Linked DNA regions of Cricetulus griseus. The protein of the gene in region 1 interacts with the protein of each later gene in a pairwise test. Links are inferred from orthologs where the notes say so. Each region holds a gene or a part of one and is shown on either strand. Other genes may lie near its edges.

Region 1 (4,758 bases):
CACTTGGGAGGCCGAGGCAGAAGGATCACCATTTCGAGGCCAGCCTGGGCTACATAGAGACCCTGTCTCAAAACAAAACAAAATAAATAAAAAATAACCCTGATTCTGATTTTGTAGGGTATCTTAAGTGGTTTTTTAGCATTTCAACAAGGGCCTGTACAGTTGCTATTAAATCTGAATTGTGTCCTCGACGATTATTTTACATGCTGATCAAGCTAGGCTAGAGCTTGCTGGGTGAAAACAGTTCCCACCATTAGACATTTGGAAACAGATCAGTGGGCCAATTTTTATAATTTATGGAAAAGAACAAAATTCAGTAGCAAGTTCTGACCCACGGGTAATGAAATCCTAACTTGAACAGCTTGAAAATAAGATTTATGATGAGTGTAGTTATCTGCAGAAATAGAAACTTTAATTAATGTGAAAATTTTATAGATAGACAAGAAAGTTTAATTAAAAAATTTGTGTTGTTGGGGTTCCAACCTGGGCCTTGCACATGCTAGGCAAGTGCTCTGACACTCAGCTATGTCCCTAGCCCTTAGAGAGAAAAATGTAACCAGTTGAAGGTTAGGTTTAAAAACAACAACAACAAAAGAATAAATAATGCCAGAATGAGCATTTACTCAATCAACTTAAAGACTCTTTTAACAGGAAAAACTAGAAAGAAGTGTTTCACTCATTTCCCATTAGGGAAAAACAGAGCACAGGAGGTTGGAAGCTCATAATATGTATTTTTAGATGTTAGGTTTGGTTCAAAGTAGGACGAAAAGAATTATTTTATTTAGTAGGAAGTGCTGATTTTTAGCTGAATTTGCTATCTTGTGGCTGTGATGACTGAGTGACTGTCACTGGAAGACATCTGGGTTTTTGTATCAAGGCCAGACTTGGCTATTACATTAACAAGAAAATTAAAACTTACTGTTGCAGGAGCTGGGGTGGGAGGTGGGGCATAAGATGGTCTTTCTGTTTGAAAGAAAATAAATAACTTCTTGTAAACAACTGAGATATAATACTATGCAACAAAACTACCAATGGTCCTGTTTTGAAGAAAAAAAAATGAGAGTATTTTGGAATTCCCATTCGCTAGGGCATTAGTCTTGTATTAACACAGATTGATAAATATAAAAATTGAAACTTACTTGACATTTTGGAAGATTAAGTTCTCAGTTCCTTAAGAATGAATCTGAGACACTAAAATAAAAAAAAAGAAAAAAAAGAAAAAAAAAGAGAATCAAAACTCAGCAAGCATAAGAGAATGTTTTCCTAAAGAATAGGGTAGTTTGATTGGTATTTCTGAGCAAAATTACTTCACTGTTAATCACTAGTAATCAAGCCTTTTGCATATTTTTTAACTAGTTCTTGTAGTCATTTGATTGATCAGAATTAAATGATGAAAATAAGTTACTGGGAAATTTAGAGTTATATTAGAGATGGATTTTTAGGTTTTTGCTTATGATATTGAGCCACGTCTTATATGGAAAACATTTTGCTGATGCCATGCAAACGTTTACTTAGACTGGTAAAAAAAAATAATGACAATAGAATGTGATGTATTATCAGGGTGACCCCAACAAGGCCTACCAGATACTGACAAATTCCTGATCAGCAGCTCTGCTTCTTTTAGGGGACACTGTTTATTGACGCAGAGCAATGTCCTATTCCTGGAAGTAGTGTGAAAGATAATCTGGTATAAAAACAAACTTTACATTGTCTTTTATTGGTAAATAGTTTTGTAAGTACTGGGGCAAATTTTTAGTCTACTTGGATGACTCGTATTGGTCCTTTACAGCCCATTTAAAAAATTATCCCAGGTATTTTCCTGATAAATTATCTGGGCAGAATAATTGCATCTTCTCTGTATCAGATAGGGATATGGCTAGGTTTTGTCTTGAAAGAGAGGAGGGATTGTCTAATTTATTACTGTATTGCTCAAACCTAGCCCAATTCTTCATAAATTTGGTCCTAGTGTTACCAGCTCACAACATGGACAGATGTGAGCTCGATCCTTACTCTACATACACCACAAATGGTGATGAAAAAACTATGACTTCTGGAGCACTTTCATCCAACACTATGTAAAACAAAATACTTTTTTTTTTCTTCTTCTACTTTTCAATTTAAGAAAATGCCTCAAATCATCAGGGTAAGAGTTCTGATGTGGAAGCAGCTTAGGTTTTCAACCCAGGCCTCTCTTTTCCTTCCATCAACACCTAGTAGGCCTTGCAGTGGGGAGCCCCGACAGAAACTGTAACAATGTCCGTGCTACCTTACACTTCACTGCGAATATGTTCAAATGATTGCTCTCCTGGGCTAAGATAATATAAACTCTTAAGAGTGGATCTAACCCTTGTGCCTAGCACGGAACTCAGTATTTGCTGAATAATTAATTACCTTACAAGGTAGGCTTATGACACAGTCTCGCTCACTACTCACAACCACCCTACCAGATACATACGGCTGTCCCCATTTTACAAATGAAGAAACAGTCTCAGGGCGATGAAGATAAAATGTCTAAAGCCAGAGGTGGATTTAAACCCAACCCACACCGTCCCGGAGTTCACTCCTCACTCCGGGCCACCCCGGGAATCATCAGGTCGCTGCCTGAACCAAAAAGGGGAACCACCTTCCTTCCAGGTGGGTGAGGAACCCCGCTGGCCTTGCCCGGAGGGCTTCCGGAGGTCCAAGGAGTTTGTGGCCCAGGATGAGCTTTTCTGGCAACCCCCCCGCAGGAGGGTGTGCATCGGGGCTCGGCCGGCGTCGGGGGTCCGGCGGAAAGGGACAAGCGGCGCCTCGGAGCAGCTGTCCCGGACGGGGCTTCTTTGCGACCCCGCCGCCGCTAGGCCTCACAGAGGCCGCACGGGCCCTAGTTCCCGCCTCGGAGCTGAGCCCGATCCCCAGCACCCCGCGGGAACTCGGGGTCCCGCCAAGCCGACACACCGGCGCTCGCCACCCTCCCCGACCGGGCTGGGCCCACTTGGAAACACTCACCCGCGGGCCGAAAAGGCGCCCGCAGCTCCGGCTTCGCTTCCCTTTGTCCCGCGCTCGCCCCGCCCCTCGCGCCGGAGCTTCCGCGCTCGCACTTTCCACACGCTCCGGGATTTCTCCGCGGGCCGCGGCCGGCTCTCCTCAGGCGATCGGGTCTTCCAGGGAGGACTCGGCGAGGCTTAGTGCAGCCGAGGATTTTTTTTTCCAGGCTCCACACTCTCCTCAGAACTCTTCCAGTTTGGGTCCCGTCCCAGCCGGGCGCCGATTCGTCACGGCGAGGAGGGCGGAGTAGGCCCGGCCGCGTTGCTTCAGCTGCTGGTTCGCGGCCGGGCGGCAGCCACTGCGCCGCGAGCGCGGCGGGGATTCCGTCTCCGAGGCGGTGGTGCCGCCGTGTGAGACCCGCGCCGGGCGAAGGCGCGCCGGAGCCTCTCGCGGGAGAGGGCGGGACGCAGCTCCCGCACCCCGGCGTCTCCCTTCGCCGTGGTCCTCACTACGCCGCTGCAGGATGGAGGAGGGTGGAGGCGGGGAGCACTCGGGTCGCCGCGATTAGGTCCTCGCCGGCGCCCAGCAGGGCTCCCTGCCTCTTCAGCCTCAGCGAAAAGCAACACGGGAGTTTTGTAGTTTTCCAGATGCTTCTAGAGGCTGAGTGATGGCGACGGGTTTCTGAGCTTAGGGCCCGCAGCTGGCAGCTCACTCTCACCAGGTCGCATACCTATGACAATTTACATTTCTTTCCAGGAGAACCAATTCAGCTTAGCCTGGCTTCAGACAGCCAAGCTCAACTGTTTCTTTATGATGCCCTCCTGGAACTTTCCCAGGCCAGTCCTTTCTTTGTAGTCCTGTGTCTTGAGATCCTCTGTATGGGACTCGGCCATCTGTTAATTTTGGAAAGTCTTGGGAACTAAGGTTCAGACATCTGGACGGGACCGTTTTATAATTACCCTTTGGTTTCTAAGGGCCAGGCTGGTAATTAGGTGCTCAGTAAGTGTGTGTAGAGGCACCTTTCTGGACCATTCCAAGGGCCTTTTTTTTTTTTTTTTTTTTTTCTAATTCCAAGCACTTAGGCGGACTATAGGAAGTATAGAAACACTTAGCTGAGGTGAGTCTGGGTGGAGGAAAAATGAACAGATGACCTGTGGTTATCTAAGGACAAAGTTATCACTTAGAGAAACTGGCTGAATACTGGGACTACCTGTTTTCCCTTATCCTGGTTGTGACAACAGGAAATGAGGTATCTTTAGAAGAAGTCTGTAGTGTCAGGGGTAAGTGATAATACTGTCCCGTTCTTCCGTGGCTCAGCATTTTCATACTCATGAGCAGAAATGAACGAGATGAGAGAGCACATTGAAAGACTAAAGGAGAGTTTTCAGATGAGTGGTCACAGCAGGGGTCCAGGATCTTTAGCTCTGCTCAGCAACTCCAGCCTTGCTACTTCCCTGCTTTGGCGATTGTGGGGGTGGAGTGATAGAAAAGGGGATGTGTGGGGGAGGAACCGTGTGTGGTGATATTTTGTTTGTGCTCCACCAAATAAAGCTTGCCTGAAGATCAGAGGGTGGAGCTAGCCACTAGTTAACCATAGAGGCCAGGCAGGCGTGGTGGTACACACCTTTAATCCCAGAATTTGGGAGGTGGAAGTGGGAAGATCAGGAGTTCAAGGCGACACTGGGGTACATGAGATTTAACCGTTCTAAAAGAGAAACAGAGCTCACTCCTTTAATCCTAGCACTAGGGAGGTGGAGACAGGAAGTGATATGGCAGAGCAGAGAGAGAAAT
Region 2 (3,149 bases), on another chromosome or scaffold:
GGGAGTTCCTTCAGTGGTGTCCCTCTCCTAGGTGGAGAAGAATATCATCCTAGAAGAAAAGATCCAAGTTCTCCAGCAGCAGAATGAAGACCTCAAAGCCAGGATTGACCAGAACACAGTTGTCACCAGGTGGGTGCCCCTGGCTGCTGATTCCATGTCCTTGAAAATCTGCATGTCCCCGTGTTCAGCCTGAATAATCCGATGCCTCTCAAATGAGCAAAAGAAAAGCACATGGCTGTGTCCCCTCAGTGTACATCCTGGCTGTACGTCACACCTGCCCCATCCGCTAGGACAAGACAGTTCCGACCACAAGCAAGGACAGCAGGGGCTCCACAGAAGGGGCTGTGATTGCTTCCTGGAGATTGGGAGAGGGGCATCAGCAGGGTGTCCCTGGGCTAAAAAGAACCATGGCTAGGTAGATTCCCAGAGCTCAGGTTAGCTTGTCCCTGCAGGATCTTTTCTCAGGAGCCTTGCTTTCAAGGAAGGATCAGGAATCCCCCTTGACCCCAGTAGTGGGGTGAAAACAGAGCTTGGAGGCCAGCTGGAGGTTATTTTGTTCAGCAAGGCTAAGTCACTCTAGTGTGTAACCAGTCACTTTCTGTCCCGCCAGCCAGCTCTCCTGCCCCCCCCCCCACACACACACACAAAATGGCACAGGCTTATTATTTATTCTAAAAGCCGGGCCTATAGCTTAGGCTTCTCCCACTAGCTCTTATAACTTAATTAACCCATTTATATTAATCTATGTTTTGCTTCATGGCTTTTTACCTCTCTTCCATCTTGAACCTCCTGTTTCCTCTTCACGTCCTCCGGCATCTTTCTGGCACCTGGATTCATCTCCTCTTCCTCTCTCTCTTCCTGGAAGTCCCACCTAACCTCTCCTGCCTAACTATTGGCCATTCGGCTCTTTGTTAAACCAATTAGAAGGTGCCTTGGCTTAGACACAGCTTTACAGTATAAAAGATTATTCTACATCACTAATGAGATTCAGGCCTGAGCCCTTCCGCTCTCAGCTGGACCAGTCTCCTCCATGCAGCCGTTATGTATCGTCCTGTGCATATACACACAAGCCCATGTGCACACACTCCTGTGTACACACTCCTGTGTAGTCATACACACACATGCTCACACCTACACTCATATTCACACCCATACTCTCACACATATGCACTCATTTACACACCACCTATTCACATGTCCACACATACCTAGCCACCTTCCTCAGATAGCAAGTGCAGGTGTTGGCCCAGAGTACCATTTCTGGACTTTAACCTATCCAGTTGTAAAATGTGTTTGTACGTCATGCTAATTCCTTGAAGAGGCTGTCATTGTTAAAAATACAAAATGAACTAGACAGGTGATTCAGTGGTTAAGAGCACTGGCTGCTCTTCAAGAGGACTCAAGTTTGATTCCTGGCACCCAGATAGCTGCTCACAACCCTCTGTGACTCTAGTTCCAGGGGATCCAACACCTTCTTCTGGCCTCCAAAGGCACTGCAAACAAGTGGCTCTCAGACATGCATGCAGGCAGACCACCTATACATATAATTTTTTTAAAGTATTAAAAACATGCAACAAAGTCAGCAGCTTAAGCATTATGACATTACATGCCATACGTGTACACACACACACACACACACACACACACACACACACACACAGAGAGAGAGAGAGAGAGAGAGAGAGAGAGAGAGAGAGAGAGAGAGAGAGAGAGAGAGAGAGAGAATTGGATTTTCTTTCCCCTTTATTAGCAAACAGTGAGAAGGCATCTGGTTTTGGGTACCATGCTGAATGGCAGCCAAGAAGGTAACAGAGCCTTGATCTTGCTCTCTAGGGCTTGTGGTCCAGCAGACAGGTAGCTCCACAGAAGAGCTAAAGACTTTGGTCACAGAAGCATGGACCCAGGGCAGGAGATAATGGGAAGATATCCCCAGCTGATTGGCAGCTGTCAGTCAGTACCCTGACCATAGCCATGGGCAGTCTCCATCTCTATAAGGCAGGCTTTCCTATGGGCCTCTAGCAGCATGCCCATACTGCCTACCATCTCCCTCTGTTGTACTCCAGCCCCTAGACTTTACCCTGAGCACAAGCACCACCTCCCCTAGCCCAGCAGAGAGCTGTGAGCTGTGAGGTATGGCCCCTGTCCTCTTCCCAGCACCCTGCTTTGATTATCACTGGTAGGTCTGTTACCTGACCATCATTCTCCCCCATGCAGACAACTGTCAGAGGAAAATGCTAATCTCCAGGAATACGTGGAGAAAGAGACCCAGGAAAAGAAGAGACTGAGCAGAACCAATGAAGAACTACTTTGGAAACTCCAAACAGGGGACCCAACCAGCCCGATTAAATTGTCCCCGACATCCCCGGTGTACAGAGGCTCTTCCTCTGGACCCTCCTCTCCAGCCAGAGTCAGCACCACACCTAGATGACATCGCTTTGCCACCTACAGGAGCTCAGGCTTCTGTCCATCGGAGGGAGTGCTGGCCAGGTGCTGGTGGCCGCCCTGTGCGCATGCTCAGTAGCTGCATATACATCTTAGCAGCGTCCTCTCTGACCCCTGTGTGAGACCGTCCTGGTATTGGTTGGCACTTAGAAAGGTGTAGGCAGCAGAGTCCTGTGTCCAAAAATGTTTTAGTGTAGTTAGAGGCAAAAGAGAAGCAACTCCCATTGTTCTTGAGAGATGAACTTTCACAACAAAGGTATAGGTCAGTTGCAAACAGCTCCGTTTTGAATGCACAGAACCCTCCTTGTACTACCGCTTGGGTATATTCAGACATGTGGGTATACACATGTGGCGATTCTGAATTGCATTTTTTATAACATGATGCGCTGACATATTTTAGTGACGGTCAGCAGTTTTGTAAGTTGTGCCTAAGAATTATTGGGAAATGAACGTGCATTTCTATCTAGTTTCCTGAAAATATTTCTACCCAAAATAGAGAAGAAAAAAATGAAAAAAAAAAAAAAAGGTAGAAGCACGTCTATCTGCCGCCAGGTGATACCCTGCTTAACATAAACACCAGCGATTTGTAGACGGTAACTGCCTTTGGAGCAATTAGCTTCTTAGTCCATGTGAGGTGGGGTCCCTGTTACCACATTGCAGGATTTAATTGTGCCCCCTCCCATCCTGAGAGATGAAACGTAACAGGG
Region 3 (4,426 bases), on another chromosome or scaffold:
GGCTGAGCAGTGTACTCTTAACCATTGAACCATTGAGATATTGCTGTAGCGCTTGCTCTCATTTTTTGAGTTTTGAAGTTGGAACTTACCGATTGGTTAGAGCCAGTGAGTCCTTGAGATCTGCTGGTGTCTGCCTCCATACCCATAATAGCATGGGTGCTATTGCATGTACATGCACCATGCTCGTACCTTTTACTCGGGTGCTGTGGCATGAACTCTGGTCTTTACACAAGCACTTTACTCAACTGAGCCTTTGTCCCAGCCCAATAGTCAAACATCGAAAAGTTTTTAACTATGATTAACTGATTGGATGCTTTAACAACCAAATAGTTAAATGCTATGAATTCAGAACTAAGCCAGACACTTCTGAAATAGTGGGAAATGTTTTCTTTTTTTAAGATTGTATTTATTATGTATACAGTGTTTGGCCCACATATATGCCTACACACCAGAAGAGGGCACAAGATCTCATTACTGATGGTTGTGAGCCACCATGTGGTTGCTAGGAAGTGAATTTAGGACCTCTGGAAGAGTAGCCAGTGCTCTTAACCTGTGAGCCACCTCTCCAGTCCCTGGAAAATGTTTTCAATCATAATATTTAGCAACATGGACAGAATTTATATTAAGTTATACAATCCCAAGGGTTTCTTGCTTAAAAGTAAATAAGGAGAAATTATTTTCAAATTCCCTAGAGCTATCTATTGGGGAAAAGCCAGTTGTTTCAACTGTAAAATGGCATTAAGCTTAAAACAGGCAGTAATTTATTTGTTCACATTCATAGATAGCTTTATTTGGCTTTTAGAAAAATATATACAACAATCAGAACCATGGTTCTCTTAAATATTTTTAAATTAAAAGTGTACAAGTGAGAAGAGTGTTTCCACAGTCAGAACATCAATACCGTGTAATGCAGTAGACAGGAACTTCTGCAAGTCTAGGAATGTTAAGAACTGAGTAGGAGCAGCTTGTGCTGCCAAGTGGTCAGCGCAGATCACACCTTAACATTTCTCCTTTAGTTTCTATTTGAAAACAGAATACTACATATAGATTTGAGTAAAACAGCTGAATGCTCGGCATATACCAATAGGCATTAATCAAAACAAAACTTGCCATTTCAACTGGCATTCATTTGAATTTGGAAATATTAGGATTACCTGTCAGTCATCGTTCAACTGGTAGCAGATGCAACAAAACTTAGGGGTTTAAGGAGCTTGTTAATGTCATATTTCCAATTAGATTTCAGCTTTCTCAACATTCTTTGGAATGGGTGTTTCTGAAAAGCATTTTAGTTAATTAAGCAGACCATGGAGTTCCAAGTAGTTTGAGAAGCTGAGTATGGAAGCAATAGGAACAGCCTTAGTCTTGTTCCAATTCTGTCTTTTGCCCCACACTGTTGGTGCTTTAGCCTACCCCAGCTACATGGATCCCCCTCCACTGGTTCTAGGGCTTTTCCTGGAGGTCAACCTAATCAATGCACCAACCAGAGGCCAGTCTATCATGAGACTTCCTAGGGACCCTAGAGTCAACATTATCAGCCATCTCTCTTCCCGCTTTTGCCAATTAAGCAAAGCAATGAGACAAGTATCTTTAGCAACATGAAGCTTTGGAAATTGCGCTTATGTGTCTGAATGGGAGGGGATGAGAGAAAACCAGCAGATCATAACTGGAGGTATCATTAAGAGTAAGGAGAGAGAGATGGGTATTTTGTTCTCTGTTCATCTATTTCCTGCTTTGTTTTCTTGATGCAACTAAATATCTCCTTAAATAGTGCTTTGTATTCTGGAGGTGTAGTGGTGGGGGAACTGATGGGCTCTGGGGTAACAGGAGTGGGTTCCCAGCCACTGGCTCCAGCCTCAGACTGGGTTACCAGTCCTGTCAGGTCCCTGGCCGGCAGCTTAGAGGTCTGCACAGCCTTGTGTGACAGTGAGTCCTGCTCCTGCTGGCACTTCTTCAGTAGTTCTTCATACTTCACTTTCAGGGCACTGTACTGAGTGTCCACTTCATGCAGAAGGGAGATACCCCTCTGCTTCACAGCCTTAGCTCTCCTGATGCAAGTCTCTTCATGGCCCTTCACGATATCACCCCCTAACATGCTGCTAAGCATCGTCTCACTGCTGCTGCGCTTGAGTGGTTTTTTATGTGCTTCTGGAGCAGCTAGGAACATCTCTTCCAGCAGGCTCTGGCTGGGCTCCTTGAAAGGAACAAACAGAGAGTCGGGTACCAGCTTCTCAACACCATTCACAAAAGGATGCTCTGACTGCAGCATCTGCCGCATCTCAGCCACCTCTGCCTCCAACTCCAGTGCTCGGGCTCGGTAGGCATCTGTGGCACCCAGCTGCTGCTCTAGTTCACAGTTCTCCTTCAGTACCACCTTATACTCTGCCTCCACGCTCACTCGCTTCTTCCTCTCTAGGCTCAGCTGTGCCTGCAACATTGTCACTGTCTTTTTCAGGTGCTCATTTTCTTCTTCATCAGGGCTTTGTTGGCTTTGCAAGGAAGTGATCTTCTCAGCAAACACGTGGTCATATACAAAGTGTCTATGAGGAAATATGGAAATAATTAAATGTCAATTGATGGTACAAAGGAAGTTGCTGGGGTTTTTAAACTAAATCTTTTTAAAGAGCTGTGACACCAATTTTTAGCTCATTCAATGCTACAAGCAGTGGCTAAAATTAAACTATATGAGGCTGGAAAATTCTTGAAAGCAAATAACAATTTTGTGACTGATCCCCACCCCCTGAATAGTAAAAGTAGTTTAGAAAACTCACTTGTAAACCAGCAGAATGACAGCTGCTTACAAGAAATGTGATGGACAAGAAGAGTCTCATCTCTAGTTGCAGATCACAAACAGCTGGGTAGTTTTAAAAACCTGGAGCTCACACCATTCATTCTGACCTTGTTGGTTTGCTACTTGGATCTACATGGTTTTAAATGTTTGTTCTCCATAATGTGTGGCCAAGGTTAAGAAACATGATGTTTAGACTTTTAACTAGGGATACACATCAGCAGCACTGGGACAGCTTTAGGTTCATGCCAAGAAATTCTGACCTGAGAGTTAGTATCTGCTCTTGGAAAACATCCACAGTGCCAGGTACACACATGCAATGTCAGCACTTGGAAGATGGAGGCAGGGGGATCAGGAGTTTGAGGCCAGCTGGGCTGTATGAGATCTTATCTCAAAAGCCTCAAATCTCTATAAGTAGTGTGACAAAAAGTAAAGGGGGAGAAACATTAACTGGCCTCTCCTATCCCATCTTAGGCAGCTTGAGTGCAATTTTTTGGTTGTGGAGCATCTGACTTCTTGAAAGGTCATGTCTACTTTGGCCATCATTCCTGATGACTGGCACATCAACTGCAGTGTTAACAGGTGTTTAGTAAGTATTTATTAAAGACTCAAATTCATAACTACAAATTATAAGGGCACTTTTTTTAGGTGAAAATACTTTTTTGCCTCAATTTTTGTTCTACCAAAATTTGTCTTCTTTTCTTTTGAGACAAGGTCTCTTCTCCATAGTCCTGGCTGTCCTAGAACTTGCTATGTTTTGGCCTCAAACTCATAGAGTCTGCCCATGCTTCCTAAGTTTTGGGATTAGAGGCATGCACCATCACACCCAGCTTCCAAAATTTTCATTTTTTTCTTTCAGTCTAATGTGAAATATATCCCCCAAATCTATACTGTAGCAGAAGTATTACTAATTTTAAACTAATATTTAACAGATTAAAATGAAAAGAATTATAGATGCCAATAAACTTTCACTGTTACATTTAAGTTCAGTGGCTTTGTTTAAACTACTAATGGCTTAACAGGCAAGGGGCACTTCTTGAAATGGAGCTTTTCATCTATGGTAATCCAGAGTGTATCAATGACATGGGATATTCCCAGCTTGAAAATCCACAACAAGGCAGGCTCTTACTGGCGGAGGTCATACAGCTCTTTCAGACAGGAGAAGCTGGGTGCTGGTTTCTCCCGGTCACATGTCTTCTGCCTCCCTCTTCCTTGGTTGGAAGACTTCAGCTCCTCCACTTGGCTTTGGAGGTGATCAATGTTTGTTTGCAGGCATTCAATTGTTTCCGTCAGGCTGTGAATAAGACACAAGCTGGTTGCTGCTTGTCACATTAAATTAAGATCAAAACCAATGAAGGGGGATTAGGTGTGAGCCACTCAAACTTGCCTTTCTTAATTGAAAAGGACTTAAAATTAATCCCCATTCCCCTAAAATAATGAACCTTTGTCCAATACTGCCCAAACCCTCAACAGCACATTCTACTTCAAATTAGTTGCTAAATAACTCCTTTGTAGATTGCCCTCAGTAACAGAAATTTTACCTTATGATTTTTTGTTGTGAGGCTTTGCTCTCAGCAACTAGCTTCTGGTTGGTTTCTTCCAGTTCTCTTGCTGTGACATCTAACTGCTCATAAACTTTTG
Region 4 (2,872 bases), about 100 Mb from region 1:
TGCCGCTGTCATTGCTTCTACAATCAGTTCATGTTCTTCGCTGACGTCAGTCGGAGCTGTCCTGGTGCTATATAAGGCTGGCAGCGGTCCCGGGACAGACCCCGTGCTCCCCAAGGCGTCTTCAGCCCGCCCCGGGGGACAGAGACTGGAGCTCCATCTTGCACCGGGCAGACACTCCGACAACATGTGAGTGGCTCGGAGCAACGATTCCGACTCCCTTAGCACCAAGACTGCACTCAGCCTACCCACTGCGACCCGCCGGGAGGGAAGGAGGGAGAGAGGGGTGGAACTGGACTGGCCCAGCGGCTGGGACTGGTGGGCAGGCTGTAGACACCAGGCGACAGCTGGAGGGTCCCGGCGGGGGCACTGGGCGTGCGCAAGAAGGGGCTCGTGTCACCTGCGGCTGCTCCAAGCGCACCTCACCCTATGCTGCCCCTGTGTGTCCAGGGCAGGCGGCACCATGAGGCAGAGGGGACGCGCTGCGCTCCTAGTGGCACTGCTGCTCCTGGCACAACTGCGCCCCGGGAGCAGCCAGTGGAGCCCGGCGACTGAGGCGGCGACTGGGGTCCAGGATCCGAATCTGCGATGGAGTCCCGGGGCGCGGAATCAGGGCGGCGGCGCCCGCGCACTCCTCTTGCTGTTAGCCGAGCGCTTCCCGCGCCGCGCGGGATCGGGGACCGCAGGCGAGCGGCAGCGACGAGACGATCCTCCGCTGTCCATCGACCTCACATTCCATCTGCTGCGGACCCTGCTGGAGCTGGCCCGGACACAGAGCCAGCGCGAGCGCGCAGAGCAGAACCGCATCATACTCAACGCGGTGGGCAAGTGATCCGCCCGGTGTGGGACCCCGAAAGGCTCGACCCTTCCCCCTGCCTACCCCGGGGCTGAAGCTCACGCGACCGAAGCTGGCTTAGTCCCTCGGTGCAGTGCCGCCAGAGTCACCCTGAGCACTCTGTGTGGTTATTTTTGTAAAAAAATAAAACTGCCCTAGAGCTTAGCCTCTTTCGTCTGTCGTGGGGAGGCGGGGCGGCAACGGCAACTGTAGAAGGGTGGGAACTCTGGGGGGTAGTGGGGCTCCCCAGGCCGGTAGCAGACACAAGCATGCTAAGCGGGACCGGAGAGGAAAGCTATCAGTTAAGTCCCCGGGGACTCATCGCCCTTCCCCCAGCCCGGAACTCGGGTCCTGAGACCCCACTCCTTTCGAGGTCTCGGGCTCAGGAGTCCACCTCTGGTGTAAAGGAGGTGCTCATCCGGGGGTTATCATCCCCCCTCCACCCCTTCTAGTGATCTCGGGTTGAGAAAGGGCAGACTGATGGCGAGGTTGCTTCTACAGCAGAGACTTGGAGTGGGCAGGGAAAGAAGACGGGACGTAGGACGCAAGATTCTTTTATTGAGACCCTTCCCGGGGGCGGGATGCCTAGCTGGGTTGCGCCGCCGTGGTCTCTGAGCCGGTCCTCAGCATGCCTTGCCTCCCGTTGCGGGCTCGCACTCTGAATCAGGGTCTGGTCAGTGCAGGCCTGTTGCCGGGAAAGGCAGCTTGGTGGGCGGGTGCTGCAGAAGAACACACCCCAGCCCACCCCACCCCCGCGCGCGCGCACGCTCGCACAGCCCCGCGACGGTTAGCTTCCCCCAGGCAGCTGCGTTTGTCCTACTCGCTGACCCACCTGGGTCCCCAAAGCCCGAGCAAAACCAACCGTGGGAAGAGTGCGCTTTTCCGCGCGCGCTAGGGGGCGCGCTTTGCGGCTCCTGTGGCGAGACACTTACCCGAATGGGGGACTACCAGCGAGTCCTGGTGCCCTGGGAAGGCAACCGCCCACCGCTGGCCAATCACTCCTCACCCAAAACCCTCGTCCACCTCTCACCTTCTGGCCCGTCCAGCCGCTCCTCCTCCAGCCCTGCATTGCTCTCGTCCCCTTCCAAAGCCACCTCGTCATCCTCCTCATCCCCCGCGGCGCCTAGGTGGAAGGCAGGCCAGGTGATGTGGAGCCCCTGCTCCTCTGGCTGTAGCGTCCACTTCATACCCTTGGGGCGGGTCCAAACAGTCCCTCCCTCGGCTCCCTCACCCGGCTGGAAGTCGATGGTCCGCAGCATTTCGGCCACGTGCTCCACGTTCACAGAAAATTGCTCCATGCTCTCATAGCCTGGCTCCGGCCGTCCTGCCAGCTCCACCTTCGACATTGCCCCGACCCTGTGACGGCCACAGGGCTCAGCAGGGGAACGCCTCAGCTCCCGCAAGCCCCTCCCCAGATCGGAAGAAAAGAATCCACAGGGTCCCTTCCTTTCCCACCGCACAGGTTGCTCACTTGTTGATCAGCTCCTTGGCCTGCTGCAGGGGAGAAAAGGGGGGCCAAGGTGAGCGCTGGGCCAGCCCCGGCAAAGTCCGATTTCTGATTCTCACCAGTCCTGCGGGGTAGGTGGGGGCGTTTATCCCAATTCGTTAAGGAGAGAACCCAAGTAGAAGGGTGACTTTGCCCAGGTCGTGGTGACAAGAAAGTACCGCAGGTTAAGACTTGACCGGGTTCCCCCGTCCCTGGTTTCTGCCACCCTCCCTCTCCGCTCACCTGGAGGTAGAGAGCCATCTGCGGCTCCTCCATGGATTGAATGGCGGACTCCACCAGCTTAGAGGAAACCTCCAAGTGGTCTCCGTACTGACGGATGAGGCCCCGCACGCGCTGCAGCTTCTCCTCTTGTTCCCGGGCCAGCGCTTGCAGCAGCTCGCCCTTGCGCTCCTCCAGTACGGCGCACAAGGTCTCGAACCTCTGGTTTAACAGTTGCTTCTGCCTGCGGCTGTTGTCCTGGAAGATCAGAGAAAGTCCGAAGGAGGTCGTGGCCCGAGCACCCCCAGAGCTGCCAGAGCAGGGTATTTTATCCC
Region 5 (4,764 bases), on another chromosome or scaffold:
TCCTCTTCCTCCTCCTCCTCTTCCTCCTCATACAGAGCTGGAAGTAGCACCTCCCCTAGGAGAGACAACCATCCCACCGGAGAGTCAATGGCCATTTCCCTCAACAGTCCTTCCAGAGTCCTGCATCTTACCACCCGGGGACTGGATAGTAGAAGAGTGCCACCCAGTGTCCTCTCAGGATCCCCTGGGCTGGACCTAACTCACAGTGAGGCACTGGTGGGTCGGACTTGGAAGTACCCTTTCCCCCTTCCAAGCTCCTAATATTGAATGTCTCCTGCCTTTACAGCACCACCCTGGCTCATCTACAAGAAGTTGGTAGCATAAGGACACCTGGAACTTCCAGTATGATCACAGGGTAATGGGACAAGGAGTTAAGAAAGGATTCAGACATTCAGACACAGCTGCGTATTTAGGCCAAATCGGGCAAGGTTGGAAAGGCAACAAGCAAAAAACCCACATCCAGGTGGCCTTTTAATAATAGGAAAGTACTGGCTTGGCCTGTAGTGGAGAAGGAAAACATTGGAAGGGAATGGCTCTGAGCTGTTTACTGGGTAAATGTGGGAACCCTTTCAAAAGCAAGCTATCAAATAACTTTGAAAATTTCTTTTTTTTTTTTTAAAGATTTTATTTATTATGTATACAACATTTCAGCTTCCATGTATATCTGCACACCAGAAGAGGGCACCAGATCTCATAACGGATGGTTGTGAGCCACCATGTGGTTGCTGGGAATTGAACTCAGGACCTCTGGAAGAGCAGTCCACGCTCTTAACCTCTGAGCCATCTCTCCAGCCCCGACTTTGAAAATTTCTACACTAACTTTTATTCCTGTTGGGTGCCACCTCTTTCCTGCTGACCCAAGTTGGTTTTCAGGGTAAGTCTGAAACTGAACTCATGCATAAAAGAAAGCCTGCCATCCAAACACATTTTTTTAAAAAATATTTATTTATTTTATGCATCTGGGTGTTTTCCCTGCTTGTATGTCTGTCTATAGTGTGCATGCAGTAGCCTTGGGGGTCAGTTATAGGAGTTATAGGATGGTTGTGAGCTCCCATGTGGGTGCTGGGAATCAAACACAAGATAACTGCTAAGCCATCCCTCCAGTACTGTTGACATATCTTAAAAACTGAATTGGAGGGGCTGGAGAGATGGCTCAGCAGTTAAGAGCACTGACTGCTCTTTCAGAGGACTTGGGTTCAATTCCCAGCACCCACAGGCGGCTCACAACTGTCTGTAACTCCAGTTCTAGGGGACCTGATACCCTCACACAGACATGCATGCAGGCAAAACACCAATGCACATAAAGTAAAAGTAAAATTATTAAAAAAAAAACCAAACACTGAATTGAGCCAGGTGTGATCCTAACACTTGGAAGGCAGAAGCAGGCAGGTCTCTGTGAGTTCAAGCCCAGCCTGGTCTACAGAGCCAGTCCCAGGACAGCCAGGGCTGTTATACATAGAAACCCTGTCTTAGAAAACAAATACCAAAAACAAAACAAAACAAAAAAAACCAAAAATCTTGAATTGGTACTGGTCCCATTTTTGGATTGGTGAGCACTTCTTTTACTGCAATGCAGTTCCCGTAAATAGCAATCTTGTCTTGGTGGAGACTGCTTTGTTTTTAAATTCTGAATCTCTGGTTTTCTTTTTCTAATACCAATAGCATATGGTTCATCTGAGACCCCTTATGCTATCGAGTCTCTAGGGGAGGCCTGTACTGAACTGTAAAAGGGCCTGGGGTCACTTCACAAGAAGTCCTGGTTGATCCTCCCTGCCCTGTCCTGTGGTGTGGTGGTGGGAAGTTGACTTCGATCTCTCCTAAGCCTCTCTTACTAAAGCTGCAAGGCTCCATTCAAAGTTGACAGTGGAGGCATCAGAAAGACAGTTCACACGCCCGCCCATGTCCTGGCTTTTAAAAATAAGAGACAGCTTGGGATCCAGGTCAGCAGGCAGTGAGAACAAGCGCCCCGCTGAAAGGCTGCTTCCAGGCTCCTTTCAGCAGGACCTCTGTCTGTCTGGCAGCTCCCCCAGGACACACAACCTGGTTAGCTGGGTGACTGGAGCCCAAAGGGATGTGCCCAAACTTCCATCAATGCCTGAGCCCAGGACAGGCTTGGAGCTCTGCCACCAGGGAGGAGGGGCCTGAGATGAAGTGAGGGAAGGGCCGTATCCTGGCTCCTCAGAGCTCTGGGGTCAGGGAAGGAAGTAGGATGGAAGGGAACTGGGGAGTAGGGTGATGGAAGATGGAAAAGCTTTTTTTTTTTTTTTTTTTTTCGACAGAAAACTCACCCTCCATAGCTTGCATCCCACGGCGTTCCAGGGACCCCCAGCGTTGGCCTTTCTTCCTCTCACAACCCTCAGATAACTCATAAGAGCCTAAAGTGGTTACTGTGGGTCCTGTGAGCAGGAGAAAGTAGGCACTGTAGGATTGGAAAGAGGCTGGGGGCTGAGGGGAAAGAAAGGGACGCGGATTCTTGTCTGGGAGCCCCGAAATTTGTAATCCCACTGGAGGAGCCTGACTCACGCTGTCCAGCTGTGTGATTCTACTCCCTTCGCCACCTCCCATGCTCTGCCTAAGGAGAGGACCCCAGCGCGGCGCTGCCCAGCCTCAGCACCCCTGATCCAGGATGTCGCCGGCTCCTCTCCCCGCCCAGACAGAAAGAGGGTGAGTGTGTAGCTTGGGGCACAAGGAGAAGAGGGGTAGGATGGGAACTAAGAAAGAAGGTTTTTGGAGGATGCGGGTGGCTCAAGGCAGGGAAGGGAGGGGCGGCCGGACCTGGAGGGAAGGGGCTCCAACCCAGGCCTCTCCTCTCCCCTCCCCTCCCTCACCAAACCTCGCCCAGCCCACCCTCACCCCCTGGTCAAGAGCTTTTATGAACTGGAAGGGTGCAGGCTCGAGACCCCCCCCCCCGCTGCTTCCACCGCCCCTGGCGAGCTGGAAGCACGGTCGGGCTGGAGAGACGAGGTGGGGAGCACTCGAGGAGTGACCGCTAGGGAGGGGACACCCCCAGGTCGAAAGATGGAGGCCGGGGTGGAGGAAGTCGACTCAGTACCCCGGGCACCCGGGGGTCAGGAGGAAGGAGAGCAGAGGGGGAAGGAGCATGGGGAGCTGAGGGAGGGGCGGCTCTGACCTGGGCCGGGGCAGCTCCAGCCCGCGCTCCCGCGCCGGCCCGCGCCGCCTGCCTCCATGGCCGCTCCTGCCGCCGCCGCCGCCACCGCCGCCGCCGCAGCCTCCGAGCAGAAGCCGCAGCCGCGGGGCCGGGGACCGGGAGCCCGGTGCGGTGCGCAGGGAGGAGAGAGGGCGGGGCGAGGGGGCGGGGCCTGGCCTGGCCACCTGACGCGGGTGCCAGCCTGCCGCCGCCCGGAAACCCTCTCTGTCCCCGCGGCTCCGGACCGCATAGGGACCAGCCCTGGAGGCTCCTTGCGCGTTAACAAAGTGCCCAAGCCTCACCGGAGGCAGCTCCGGGTCTGCTGCGCCTCCTGCACGGCGGACGTGAGCTACCGGGTCCTAAGGATGCTCCCAAGGAGTGACAAGATGGGTGGCTTCTGGCGACAGAACCCACCCTAGGTCAGTCGCTCCTAAGGACCTCTCTGCTCTGGGTCTCTGGGCCTGGTCCTACCTGGTGATTGAGGCACAAACAAACAAACAAACAAACAAAAAACCAAGAATGGACTGTTTCCTGCAAATGCGCAGACACGCGCGCACTTCTTGGTCTCCATGGCCGCAGTTCACCGAGCCCATCCATCTCCTCCTGGCGGCCTCACGTGCCACAGAGCTGCTGCAGGGCTGCAGAGTAGGGAACTTGAGACTTGGATGTGCCAACTGCAAGGCAGGCATCATTGCCTTTTCCGAATTCCCACCAAGCCAGAGCCAAGGACTGACTTAGAAGGAGCCCTCCGTAGCCCAACCCTGCTGCCCTCGGTGCACCAAGACCTGTCCTCTCCATGTCCTTTGAGTCACGCCCCCATGTCCTGTGGGCACCGCTGATGTCCCCTCTAACAGAAGGTGTGGGAAACCACAGGGCTTATTTCACTTTTTCAACTATCCACTCAAGAGACGATCTTGATCTTGAGACAGATCTGACTTCTCAGCAGGTCTCATTCAGGTCAGAAGTGGGTACACAGGAACTGGCTCCCCAAGTCAAAATTGTGGGTCGATTCCTTTTTTTTTTTTTTTTTTGAATTAGAAACAAGATGGTTTTACATGTCAACCCCAGTTCCCTCTCCTTGCCCTCCTCCACTACAAGCCCCCCCCCCAACTAAAACCCTACCTATCACATATCCTTTCTGCTCCCCCTGGAGGGTGAGGCCTTCCATGGGGGGGGTCATCAGAGTCTATTGTGTCCTTTGGGATAGGGACTAGGCCCGCCCCCGTGTGTCTGGGCTCAGGGAGTATCCCTCTATGTGGAATGGGCTCTGTGAGGGCGATTTCTAAGCTGGGTACACACACTAGTTCTTTCTCTTGTAGTCTCATTCTTAAAGTTTGGACATGGATTGGCTGTGTTCACCTTCTCAGGATGCCATGTTCCACAGGAACGAAGTACTTCTTTGCCTACCTATCCCTACTTATCAGTCATTTCAGCCCTACCTTGAGAGTCTCTGGACACCCTAGCCCTTCCTTGTTAGATACTCTGCTGTGCTCTTCTGACTTTGCTGTTAAGATTGGGAAGTATCAGCCAGGCGTTGATGGCACACGCCTTTAATCCCAGCACTCGGGAGGCAGAGGCAGAGGATCTCTGTGAGTTCGAGGCCAGCCTGGTCTCCA
Region 6 (4,171 bases), on another chromosome or scaffold:
AATGATGCTACTTCTGTTTTTATGTCATTTCTCCTTCAAAGGTGAAGTCAACATGATGGGACCTGGGTTCACAGCAACAATGAATGGATAAATAAGAAGGAAGGAAGGAAGGAAGGAAGGAAGGAAGGAAGGAAGGAAGGAAGGAAAGAAGGAAGCAAAGAAAGGCCAGGCAGTGGCGGTGCAGCCTTTAATCCCAGCACTCGGGAAGCAGAGGCTGGCAGAGGCCAACCTGGTCTACAAAGCTACACAGAGAAACCCTGTCTCAAAAAACCAAACCCCCCCCCCCACTGCCGGGGAAAAAAAAAAAGGCAGCAAGCATCAGGAATGGTAGGAGAGGGAACCAACCTGATAAAATGAAGGTATCCATCCCCTTTTCATACTGCCTCAGGTTTCAATCCAAAATTCTGTGTGTATGTGTGCACCTGTATTTGGGTACTTGGGTGCATATGTGTAGAGGCTAGAGGCCATCTGTTGGGTGTCATTCCCCAATCAGTTCTCTACCTTATTTTTTGAGCCAATGTCTCTGACCGAACCTGGAACTCACAGACTGCTCTAGGGTAGCTGGCCTCACGGGTAGCTCTAGGGTAGGAGACACCTCTCCTGTCTCCACCTCCCCAGAGCTGGGATTACAAACATAAGTCATCGCATCTGGCTTTTATCTGGGTGCTGGGGACTGAATTCTGGTCCTTACTTTTGCAAAAGCAAGGACTTTGCCTTTTGCTGTCTCCATGCCCTACACCATGGTTCTTTTATTCAAAATAGATGTGCAACACGAGAAAGGAAAGCCCAGCCTCCACTAGCCATGTTCTAAGTCGTGACTCACAGCCCATGGAAACCCACTGCTGCAATCCAGCACTGGGGAGGCAAAGGCAGCAGAATCACGGTCATCCTGGCTATAGAACAAGTTTGAGAGTATCATGGGCCACATGAGATCCTATTAAAAAAAAAAAAAAAAAAAAAAAAAAAAAAGGATGGGAAACATAAGACAATCTTGTGAGCTGGGGAGAAAAGAACCATGCAAAGGGCTTCCCCTGGACTACATGTCCTGACACCTGGAGTGCAGGGCTAAGCACAACTATGCTCCCAACAAAGCCTGTGACCTTGAAGCAAAAGACTCAGGTGGCTCTTTGCATGCAACAATCCCCTACACCACTCTCCAAGTCTGAGAGGTGCCAACTAGAGAGCCACTTAAATCTTGTTGCTGGATCTGCATGAAGATTGCAAGATCTGCAGGGATGTATATTTCAGCCTTGGTGTGGCCAGGAATCTGAATCGAGCCCCACACACTAAACTAGTTCAGAATCCAAAGACGGCTTGTACGCTCTATAGGCAGCAGCTGCTGCACACAGTTCTTGCCCTGATGTGCAAAATCCTCCTGGGCCTTCAGCCCTGCATTTCCTCTCAAAACTCACACTTCTCTGCAATCTCCAAAGGTCTCACACCCAGCCTGCTTCTCACCCTTGGAAAGCTGTTTACAGACACAAACCAGGCAGGAAAAACAAAAAACAAAAAAAAAAAAAAACTTCTAAACTTAATGAAACATCTGATTTATACCAAGCTAAAATATGAGTAACACAGAACAACAAACAGTTATGTGAATAAATTTCCCACCAGACAGTTAACATCAACAGGCATGTATCTATTGCTTTTAAAGAAATAACTTACTGTAGTGCTCTGGAATATGACTTTAACTATGTAAAGGTGTGCTGCATTTGTTTGTGCTGAATTTGTTTTATTGGGTAAAGACATGTTATTGTTCCACCTTTCCTGCCTAAGGCACCTGGTTGGTCTAATAAGGAGCTGAACGGCCAATAGCCAGGCAGGAGAGGGACAGGCGGGGCTGGTGGGCGGAGAGAGTAAGGAGGAGGAACCTAGGTTGGAAAGAGGAGTGAGGGAGGAACAAAGGGAGAGGCCCTGGGGCTAGCCAGGCAGCAGCCAGCCAGCCAGACACATAGCAAGCAGGAAAACAGGACGTACAGGATGAAAGGAAGGTACACAGCCCCAAGGCAGAACACAGGTGAAGAGAAACAGGTTAAATTAAGTTATAGGAACCAGAGGGACAAGCCCAAATGAGAACGAGCATTCACCACTAATATTAAATCTCGAGTCATGATTTGGGGGCTGGCAGGGCATGGAAGGCTCTGCCTGCCACACTCTGCACCACACCAGACAGTAGCTCACTTGTCTTTTAGCTTCCCTCAGTTTTCTCTTCAGAGCAGTTAGAATCCTTTGTACTTCCCATAATCTTTCTTCTTTAGATAAGTCCTTTATCCCACCCTGCAGATCTCGATGTAAACAATTCAAAAGAAACTCCTAGAAAACAAAAGGACACGTGGCATGCTGTTCAGTGTCTTGTCATCTCAAAGCAGCACACACAACCCCCACGACACAGCAGCGCTGATTACTCTCTCCACGAGGCCAGCACTGACTTGCAAACCCATCCTCATTTGCTTCACCTGGGAATCAGACGCTCATCATTTGTGTCTAGCAGTTCAATAGCAATTAATTCACCTCCTTTATGTTTCTGCCTCACAGCAACTGCTAAGGAGACGCCAGCAGACAGAAAGCAGGCGTGTGGCCATGTTCATGCAAACACATGTATGCAACCCTCCTATCCAGGCTCTATCTTCCCGCTCTACACGGGCACACACTTACTGGGTTTCTTTTAGATAGCAAAGTACAACAGTGGGAAAGCTCAGGTTCTGAGCTAAATCTTGGTCACATAGTCTAGAAATTATGCCAGAGTAAATTACTAAACTTCCTTTCCACTATAGCACCTTGTCTAGAAAAAGAAACATTTTTGCGCTCCTGGCCGTGGGTGAGTCCTCCCCATGCACTATCTCCAACATTAACGCCAGAGCTCACCCGTTTAAGGTGAGAATACCAAGGCTTTAAAACACTGAACAACTGGCCAAAAGTCAGCGTGACAGGAGTTTGAAATCAGTTCTTACAGTGTAAGAGCCTACGCCATTTCTGCCATGGTTGTTTACTTACATGGTGTGAACTAGGACCAGCTGAAAATGCGCCTCAAAGGGAGGAGTATAGGGCTTGCATAAGGCCCTGGACTGCACCCCCAGGGCCGCACAGAACTGAGTGTGTACCAAAACCTCTGCATCAAGAGGTAGAGGCAGGAGCTCATCGCCTCCTGACCACAGCTCCTCCCTGTGGCCAGCACAGAAGCAGGCAGGGAGAGTAAGGAGAGGGACGGGGTCAAGGCGGGGCCAAGTACACACCTGTCTCCTGATCTCTTCCTTGATGCCTGCCTGGGTCTCTGGCAGTGTGGGCATCGTTGCCATGTTGGACCAACGCAGAGGTCTTGTCACTTGCTTTAGGACCACAGTGCCAAAGAGCTCTTGCACGTGTGTGAAGAGCACATACAGGACACGGTTGCTGATCTGCAGAAAACAGGTTCAGAGTTTAAAAAACTGCTGGGCAGTCTTTACTCCACCTGCACCAGTCACAGCACATCCTTTATTAACCCTGTACAGAGGAAGGAAGTCTCTGAAGCAGGGACAAAACGGGCTACTAACTAACCATCAACTAAGAAGGAAATAGGAAAGCCTGGCTTAAACATGTACTCAAGCACCATAAGGGGGAAAGCCCGTGCAGGGTACAAAATATTACCATCAATTAGCAGTGTCTAATAACCATTTCCATCGTATTCTGAGAGCTCTCTGAATACAGGAGGAGGTGGAGCCCCTTCTTCTGGTGCACACATGCACCAGTGTTCCATGGCTTCCCAGGCTAGGAAGCCAGTACTGCAGGATGGCTCAACAACTAAAAAAAGACATGTTTTCCTTGCTCAAACTTTCTCTTACAATCCCCCTGGAGCTTCTGTGGCCCAGGCATCCACCTTATGGCAATGTTGAGTAACAACATAGTATTGAGCAAATTCTGAAACCCAGGCTAACAAAAATGATATCTGAGAAATTTAAGAAACAGTTGTTTCCCCTGGTGATGGTGGCGCACGCCTTTAATCTAGTACTCAGGAGACAGAAGCAGGTGGATCTCTGTGAGTTCCAGGACAGCCAGGGCTACACAGAGAAACCCTGTCTCCAAAAACAAAACAAAAATTAGAGCTACTGTCTCCTTCATTCTTTTGACACAGAAAAGTGTCCTTACTGTAAAGGCAAACTCAGTCTTTGATAGCATCACTGAGCAGTGATGGAGA
Region 7 (4,171 bases), on another chromosome or scaffold:
CTTTTATCTATCCTCCTGGGCCCAGTTATAAAAGATCAATGTAGTAGTTTGGATTAAATTATCCAATGGCTTGCCTGGTTCAGTCACCAATTTTTGGAGTTATATACATGGCTAATCAAGTCGGGCATTTATCATGTTGTATGATCTCTTCCTATGACCCTGGTTCTATATTAGTATATATTTTACAGCCTCTTGATATCTTTGGTAGCATATCATGGAAATCTCCTTACCTTCTGACTTACTGTTGTCAGTTGGGCATCGTTTAAGGGCTTAATTGCTGACTTTCTGAGACCTTCTAGGTTGCAGTAAAGGAGTACCCCAAATCCATCCTTTCCCTTGATCTTCTGGATTGAATTTGGGATTGGATTAGAACTGCCTCTTTACCAGTGGGAAGTTGGGGGATACCTTTATTTCCCTGGAAGTGTAAAAGTCATTTCCATCATGGATGTCCTAACGTATCACTTACCTTTCTAGAAGTGTTAGAGTTTATTCTAACAACAGCATGTGAAATCACAAAGTTGGCTTGCTCTCCAAAGGTTTGGACATACCCAACTGGGCTGCCAATAAAGCTCCCCAGGTCTCTTTTTTAGTATAGACAGAGAAAGGAGCCATGCACATAGGTTGTCCCAGACTCCATTCTGGAGATCTGCCTAATTGAAAACATGTCTTGTGGAAGAAAAGGGGGCACATCTGGGGACAGCGTTTCCACACTGGGAAGAGGTCTGCTCTGTCTAAAGGGCTGCAGATTGGGATGGATAGCCAGAAGACTTACAGGGGTGGAAACAGTCATGTTGGGCAGTTCATGAATTTGGGGATTTGGATACTTTGTAGGATTTGAAGACTTGTTCTTGCCTGCTGACTCGTTTTTTTAGATGAGATCATATCACAGCCAAAGTATAGGGGTACATTTTACATACTTGGGCCAATTAAGGGTGATCCTTCAAGTAAAAGGACAAATTGAATATATGGGATAGCAGTCCATTTTCCCTCTTGCTTGCAAAGCAGATTGAGCGGAATGATGGTATTGTAGTTTAAATTGCTCCTAGAGGCCAAGATTTCCAATCACTTAGTGGGCGTTCTGGCCAGCCCTGGATAGGGAGAAAAGAACCTTTTCCTTATGACTCTGAGGGTCCGTCTTACTTAGTTTTCTAAGAAGTAGAGCAGAGGATTTGATGTGATCTTGGTTAGGGTCAAATCCATCTGACCCTGTCTAGTAAATGGAAGCATTCCTTGGAGAGACACCTCTCTCCTTACTCTTCCCTGGGCCCAAAGGGATGCCTCTGATCTGGGAGAGCCCTCGTGTTTAGAGATTACTTCTTACTTGTGATGTATTGGAACTTTTCCAGGGGCCGTATGGTTTACACTTTACATACATACATACATAAAGTTTGCACATGGGTGCACACACACATATAAATAAAAAAAAACAAGGTTTTGGGGGAGGCCAGCTCTGTCATTGACTTAGTTATTTTAATCTTCTAAGAAAACATTTTTATTGACTTTTCCTCCTCCTTTAGATTACAAGCGCTTACTGGTCAAAAAAAGACTGATTACACGGAGAAAAAAGATGAGCCCAGCAAAGACAGCCATCAACAGGTTCTAGTTGACCAGAGATACTTTCAGGTATTGAATAGCTGATGAAAAGACTGGTGTTTGTGAAGATCCTTGGTTTTATGCAGTATAATTTGTTGCCACTTGGTAAGGAATGTTTGTATACAGACAGCTCTAGGTATCTGTGGGGGCTTGGTTCTGGGATACTTGTGGATGCCTAAATCTGCAAAATCCCATATATAATGGCATTGTGTTGTGACTTGAATGGGAAATGCCCCCTATAGGTTCATGTGTTTGAACATGTGATCTCCAGCCATTTAGAAATGTTTGGTGTTTGTTTGTTTAAGACAGGTCTCTCTCTGAAGTTCTGGGCTGTCCTGAAACTTGCTATGTAGACCAGGCTAGCCTCAAATTTATAGAGATCCATCTTCCTCTGCCTCCCAAATGCTGAGATTAAAGTTTTATATATTTTAAATTTAGTTTAGGTGTATTTCTTGTCAGGTTTATTTTCTAGGTATTTAATGACTCTCATTGCTGTTGTGAATAAGATCTAGGCAACTTTATGAGAATTTTATTTTAGCTGTTTCTCTGTGAGTATGTAACTGGGACTCTTTCATTTGCTTGCATGGGCTTAGTATGAGAGCCTGTGTGTGTGGAGACCAGCTCTTATTTCACTCTTACTGTTGGCATCTTACTGCTTTTCATATACTTGGTTTCCTGCTCTACTCTTTGGTTTTCTTTTCTTTTTCTGGCATTTGCTAGATTGACAGATGTTTCTTTGTCCTTTTTAATTTTGTTTTGTTTCTGCCTTAAAAGAAAAGCAGTAATTCATGTCATTCAGAGAGCTCACTGACACTGATAAACTCCCTGTGTTGTTGTTGTTTAAAGCAATCTAAAGGTGATCAGAGAACAGGAAAAGCTAAGATGAATTTAATTAATTAATTAAGCAATGGAATTTTCTTAAAGGCTTTTCCTGTTCTTTTAAAAATTCTTATCTCTGCGGGAATTGCTTTAAGTTACTTTATGGTTTCTACATTGTTACTATATCTTTTACTGCTAATTATCAAAAAGGTAGTTAATTCATACAGGACAATGTAAATTGTCACCTGTAAAAATTCTGATGGAATTAATTCTTCCATTAAAATCATGAGTTTATATATAATTGAAATTAAATATTGAAATATATATTTTTAAATAATTTATTTAACTTTATTTTATGTGCATTGGTATGATGGTGTCAGATCCCCTGGAACAATAGTTAGAGTTACAACTGAAAATTGCTGAAAATTGAACCCAGGTCCTCTGGAAGAGCAACTAGTGTTCTTAACTGCTGAGCCATCTTTCCAGCCCCCTGAAATATATTTTCATGAAAACTAAAAGCCTTCTAAATAACCTCTGAAGTCATATTACCAGGAGACCCATTAGTTGCAGCTTGAAGTATGCACAGGACAGAAATTCAAGATAAAATGCTGATCTCATCGTCACGATTCGTGTGTGTGTGTGTGTGTGTGTGTGTGTGTGTGTGTGTGTGTGTGTACGCTTGTGTGTGTTTGTGCATGCATGGGTTCCTGGTGTACATGTGGAGGTTAGAGAACAACTTGTGGGTGGACCATGTGGGTTCTGGGGACGGAACTCAGCTTGGTGGTAAGCAAGCCATGTCACTGGCCCTCATCTTCATACTTGATGATGATTTCTTAAATAGGATAGACTTCATGTTGATAAATGGGGAATTACTTTTATTATGTGTGTTTTGTTTTTTAAATACCACGCAAGGTGTTAAGAAAGGGCAGAGACAGGGGGCAGGTAATACCTAAACTCAGGCCATCTGACAGACCTGGGACCTCATTAAAACACTTTCTAAAAGGCTCTGAAGTTAATTAAAGAGGTAAAATAAGAGAGAAAACAAACAAGGTTGAAAGAATGATCTATTTTACCTGTCTTTGGGTGGTCCCTATTGTAGTGCTCATCATCACATCTAGAGAGTCAAATAGTATACATAATAAGATATTAAAACTTCAGCTCAGATATCAGTGATATTAAGGAGTTGTCAGTTTTCTTCAGTGTGACAGTGGCACTATATTGTATAGACTATACCAGCTTTTAAGAGATGCATGCTTTACTATTTGAGGGTAAAGAATGATGATAGCTTGATTTAGCTGACCCTGCAGACAGAGTGAGCCAAGCTAGGAAAATGTTAACAGTTACTGGATTTAGGTAGTGATTATGTTGAGTGCTAATTTTATGTGTCGGCTTGATTGGGCTTTACATTGCCCAGATGCTTGGTTAAACAGTGTACTTGTGGGTGAATGAATGGCAGACAAATACATTGTACTCCTGTGGTAGGTGGATCTCATCCAGTCACTTACAGAACAAAAAGACCCAGGGGGAATTTCTAATGCATGCTTTTAACATACTTTGTTTGGTTTTGGTTAGTTCTCCTACCTTTAGGTTTGATCCAAAGTGTCAGCCTTCTAGGGCTTTGGAACTACAATTCTGGGTCTCTTCTCAAATTGCTAACTGATAGTCATGGGATTCCATTAATTGCATGAGCCAATTCCTTATAGTAAATCTTTCTTTTTAAAATATGATCTCTCTCTCACGTGTGTGTGTGTGTGTGTGT

What was found.
Region 2: the proteins of SWI/SNF-related matrix-associated actin-dependent regulator of chromatin subfamily E member 1 (region 1) and Mtus2 interact in binary tests that used the Homo sapiens proteins (3 or more experiments, as listed by UniProt). The two-hybrid records come from large-scale screens. The link is inferred for Cricetulus griseus from reciprocal best matches to the Homo sapiens genes SMARCE1 and MTUS2.
Region 3: the proteins of SWI/SNF-related matrix-associated actin-dependent regulator of chromatin subfamily E member 1 (region 1) and Cdr2 interact in binary tests that used the Homo sapiens proteins (3 or more experiments, as listed by UniProt). The two-hybrid records come from large-scale screens. The link is inferred for Cricetulus griseus from reciprocal best matches to the Homo sapiens genes SMARCE1 and CDR2.
Region 4: the proteins of SWI/SNF-related matrix-associated actin-dependent regulator of chromatin subfamily E member 1 (region 1) and Trim54 interact in binary tests that used the Homo sapiens proteins (3 or more experiments, as listed by UniProt). The two-hybrid records come from large-scale screens. The link is inferred for Cricetulus griseus from reciprocal best matches to the Homo sapiens genes SMARCE1 and TRIM54.
Region 5: the proteins of SWI/SNF-related matrix-associated actin-dependent regulator of chromatin subfamily E member 1 (region 1) and Ccdc136 interact in binary tests that used the Homo sapiens proteins (3 or more experiments, as listed by UniProt). The two-hybrid records come from large-scale screens. The link is inferred for Cricetulus griseus from reciprocal best matches to the Homo sapiens genes SMARCE1 and CCDC136.
Region 6: the proteins of SWI/SNF-related matrix-associated actin-dependent regulator of chromatin subfamily E member 1 (region 1) and Ralbp1 interact in binary tests that used the Homo sapiens proteins (3 or more experiments, as listed by UniProt). The two-hybrid records come from large-scale screens. The link is inferred for Cricetulus griseus from reciprocal best matches to the Homo sapiens genes SMARCE1 and RALBP1.
Region 7: the proteins of SWI/SNF-related matrix-associated actin-dependent regulator of chromatin subfamily E member 1 (region 1) and Cep70 interact in binary tests that used the Homo sapiens proteins (3 or more experiments, as listed by UniProt). The two-hybrid records come from large-scale screens. The link is inferred for Cricetulus griseus from reciprocal best matches to the Homo sapiens genes SMARCE1 and CEP70.

What each region holds. Positions count from the first base shown.
Region 1 is NC_048600.1:113,343,574-113,348,331, reverse strand, and holds the start of SWI/SNF-related matrix-associated actin-dependent regulator of chromatin subfamily E member 1, read right to left. Parts: upstream 3,128-4,758; 5' UTR 2,989-3,127; intron 1,192-2,988; 5' UTR 1,147-1,191; coding exon 1,140-1,146; intron 964-1,139; coding exon 920-963; intron 1-919. UniProt on the Homo sapiens protein: Involved in transcriptional activation and repression of select genes by chromatin remodeling (alteration of DNA-nucleosome topology).
Region 2 is NC_048597.1:84,168,485-84,171,633, forward strand, and holds part of Mtus2 (microtubule-associated tumor suppressor candidate 2), read left to right. Parts: intron 1-31; coding exon 32-129; intron 130-2,214; coding exon 2,215-2,428; 3' UTR 2,429-3,149. UniProt on the Homo sapiens protein: Binds microtubules. Together with MAPRE1 may target the microtubule depolymerase KIF2C to the plus-end of microtubules. May regulate the dynamics of microtubules at their growing distal tip.
Region 3 is NC_048596.1:79,700,637-79,705,062, reverse strand, and holds the end of Cdr2 (cerebellar degeneration-related protein 2), read right to left. Parts: coding exon 4,327-4,426; intron 4,080-4,326; coding exon 3,915-4,079; intron 2,538-3,914; coding exon 1,676-2,537; 3' UTR 761-1,675; downstream 1-760.
Region 4 is NC_048600.1:13,245,107-13,247,978, forward strand, and holds part of Trim54 (tripartite motif-containing protein 54), read right to left. Parts: intron 2,796-2,872; coding exon 2,562-2,795; intron 2,327-2,561; coding exon 2,304-2,326; intron 2,189-2,303; coding exon 2,064-2,188; intron 1,956-2,063; coding exon 1,863-1,955; intron 1,518-1,862; coding exon 1,507-1,517; 3' UTR 830-1,506; coding exon of another isoform or gene 448-829; 3' UTR 187-447; coding exon of another isoform or gene 1-186. Other genes in the region: Ucn (urocortin), read left to right, coding at 1-186, 448-829. UniProt on the Homo sapiens protein: May bind and stabilize microtubules during myotubes formation.
Region 5 is NW_023276806.1:198,420,965-198,425,728, forward strand, and holds the start of Ccdc136 (coiled-coil domain-containing protein 136), read right to left. Parts: upstream 3,241-4,764; 5' UTR 3,189-3,240; coding exon 3,131-3,188; intron 2,397-3,130; coding exon 2,289-2,396; intron 56-2,288; coding exon 1-55. UniProt on the Homo sapiens protein: May play a role in acrosome formation in spermatogenesis and in fertilization.
Region 6 is NC_048595.1:454,801,913-454,806,083, forward strand, and holds part of Ralbp1 (ralA-binding protein 1), read right to left. Parts: intron 3,396-4,171; coding exon 3,234-3,395; intron 2,314-3,233; coding exon 2,182-2,313; intron 1-2,181. UniProt on the Homo sapiens protein: Multifunctional protein that functions as a downstream effector of RALA and RALB. As a GTPase-activating protein/GAP can inactivate CDC42 and RAC1 by stimulating their GTPase activity.
Region 7 is NC_048597.1:207,716,227-207,720,397, forward strand, and holds part of Cep70 (centrosomal protein of 70 kDa), read left to right. Parts: intron 1-1,517; coding exon 1,518-1,623; intron 1,624-4,171.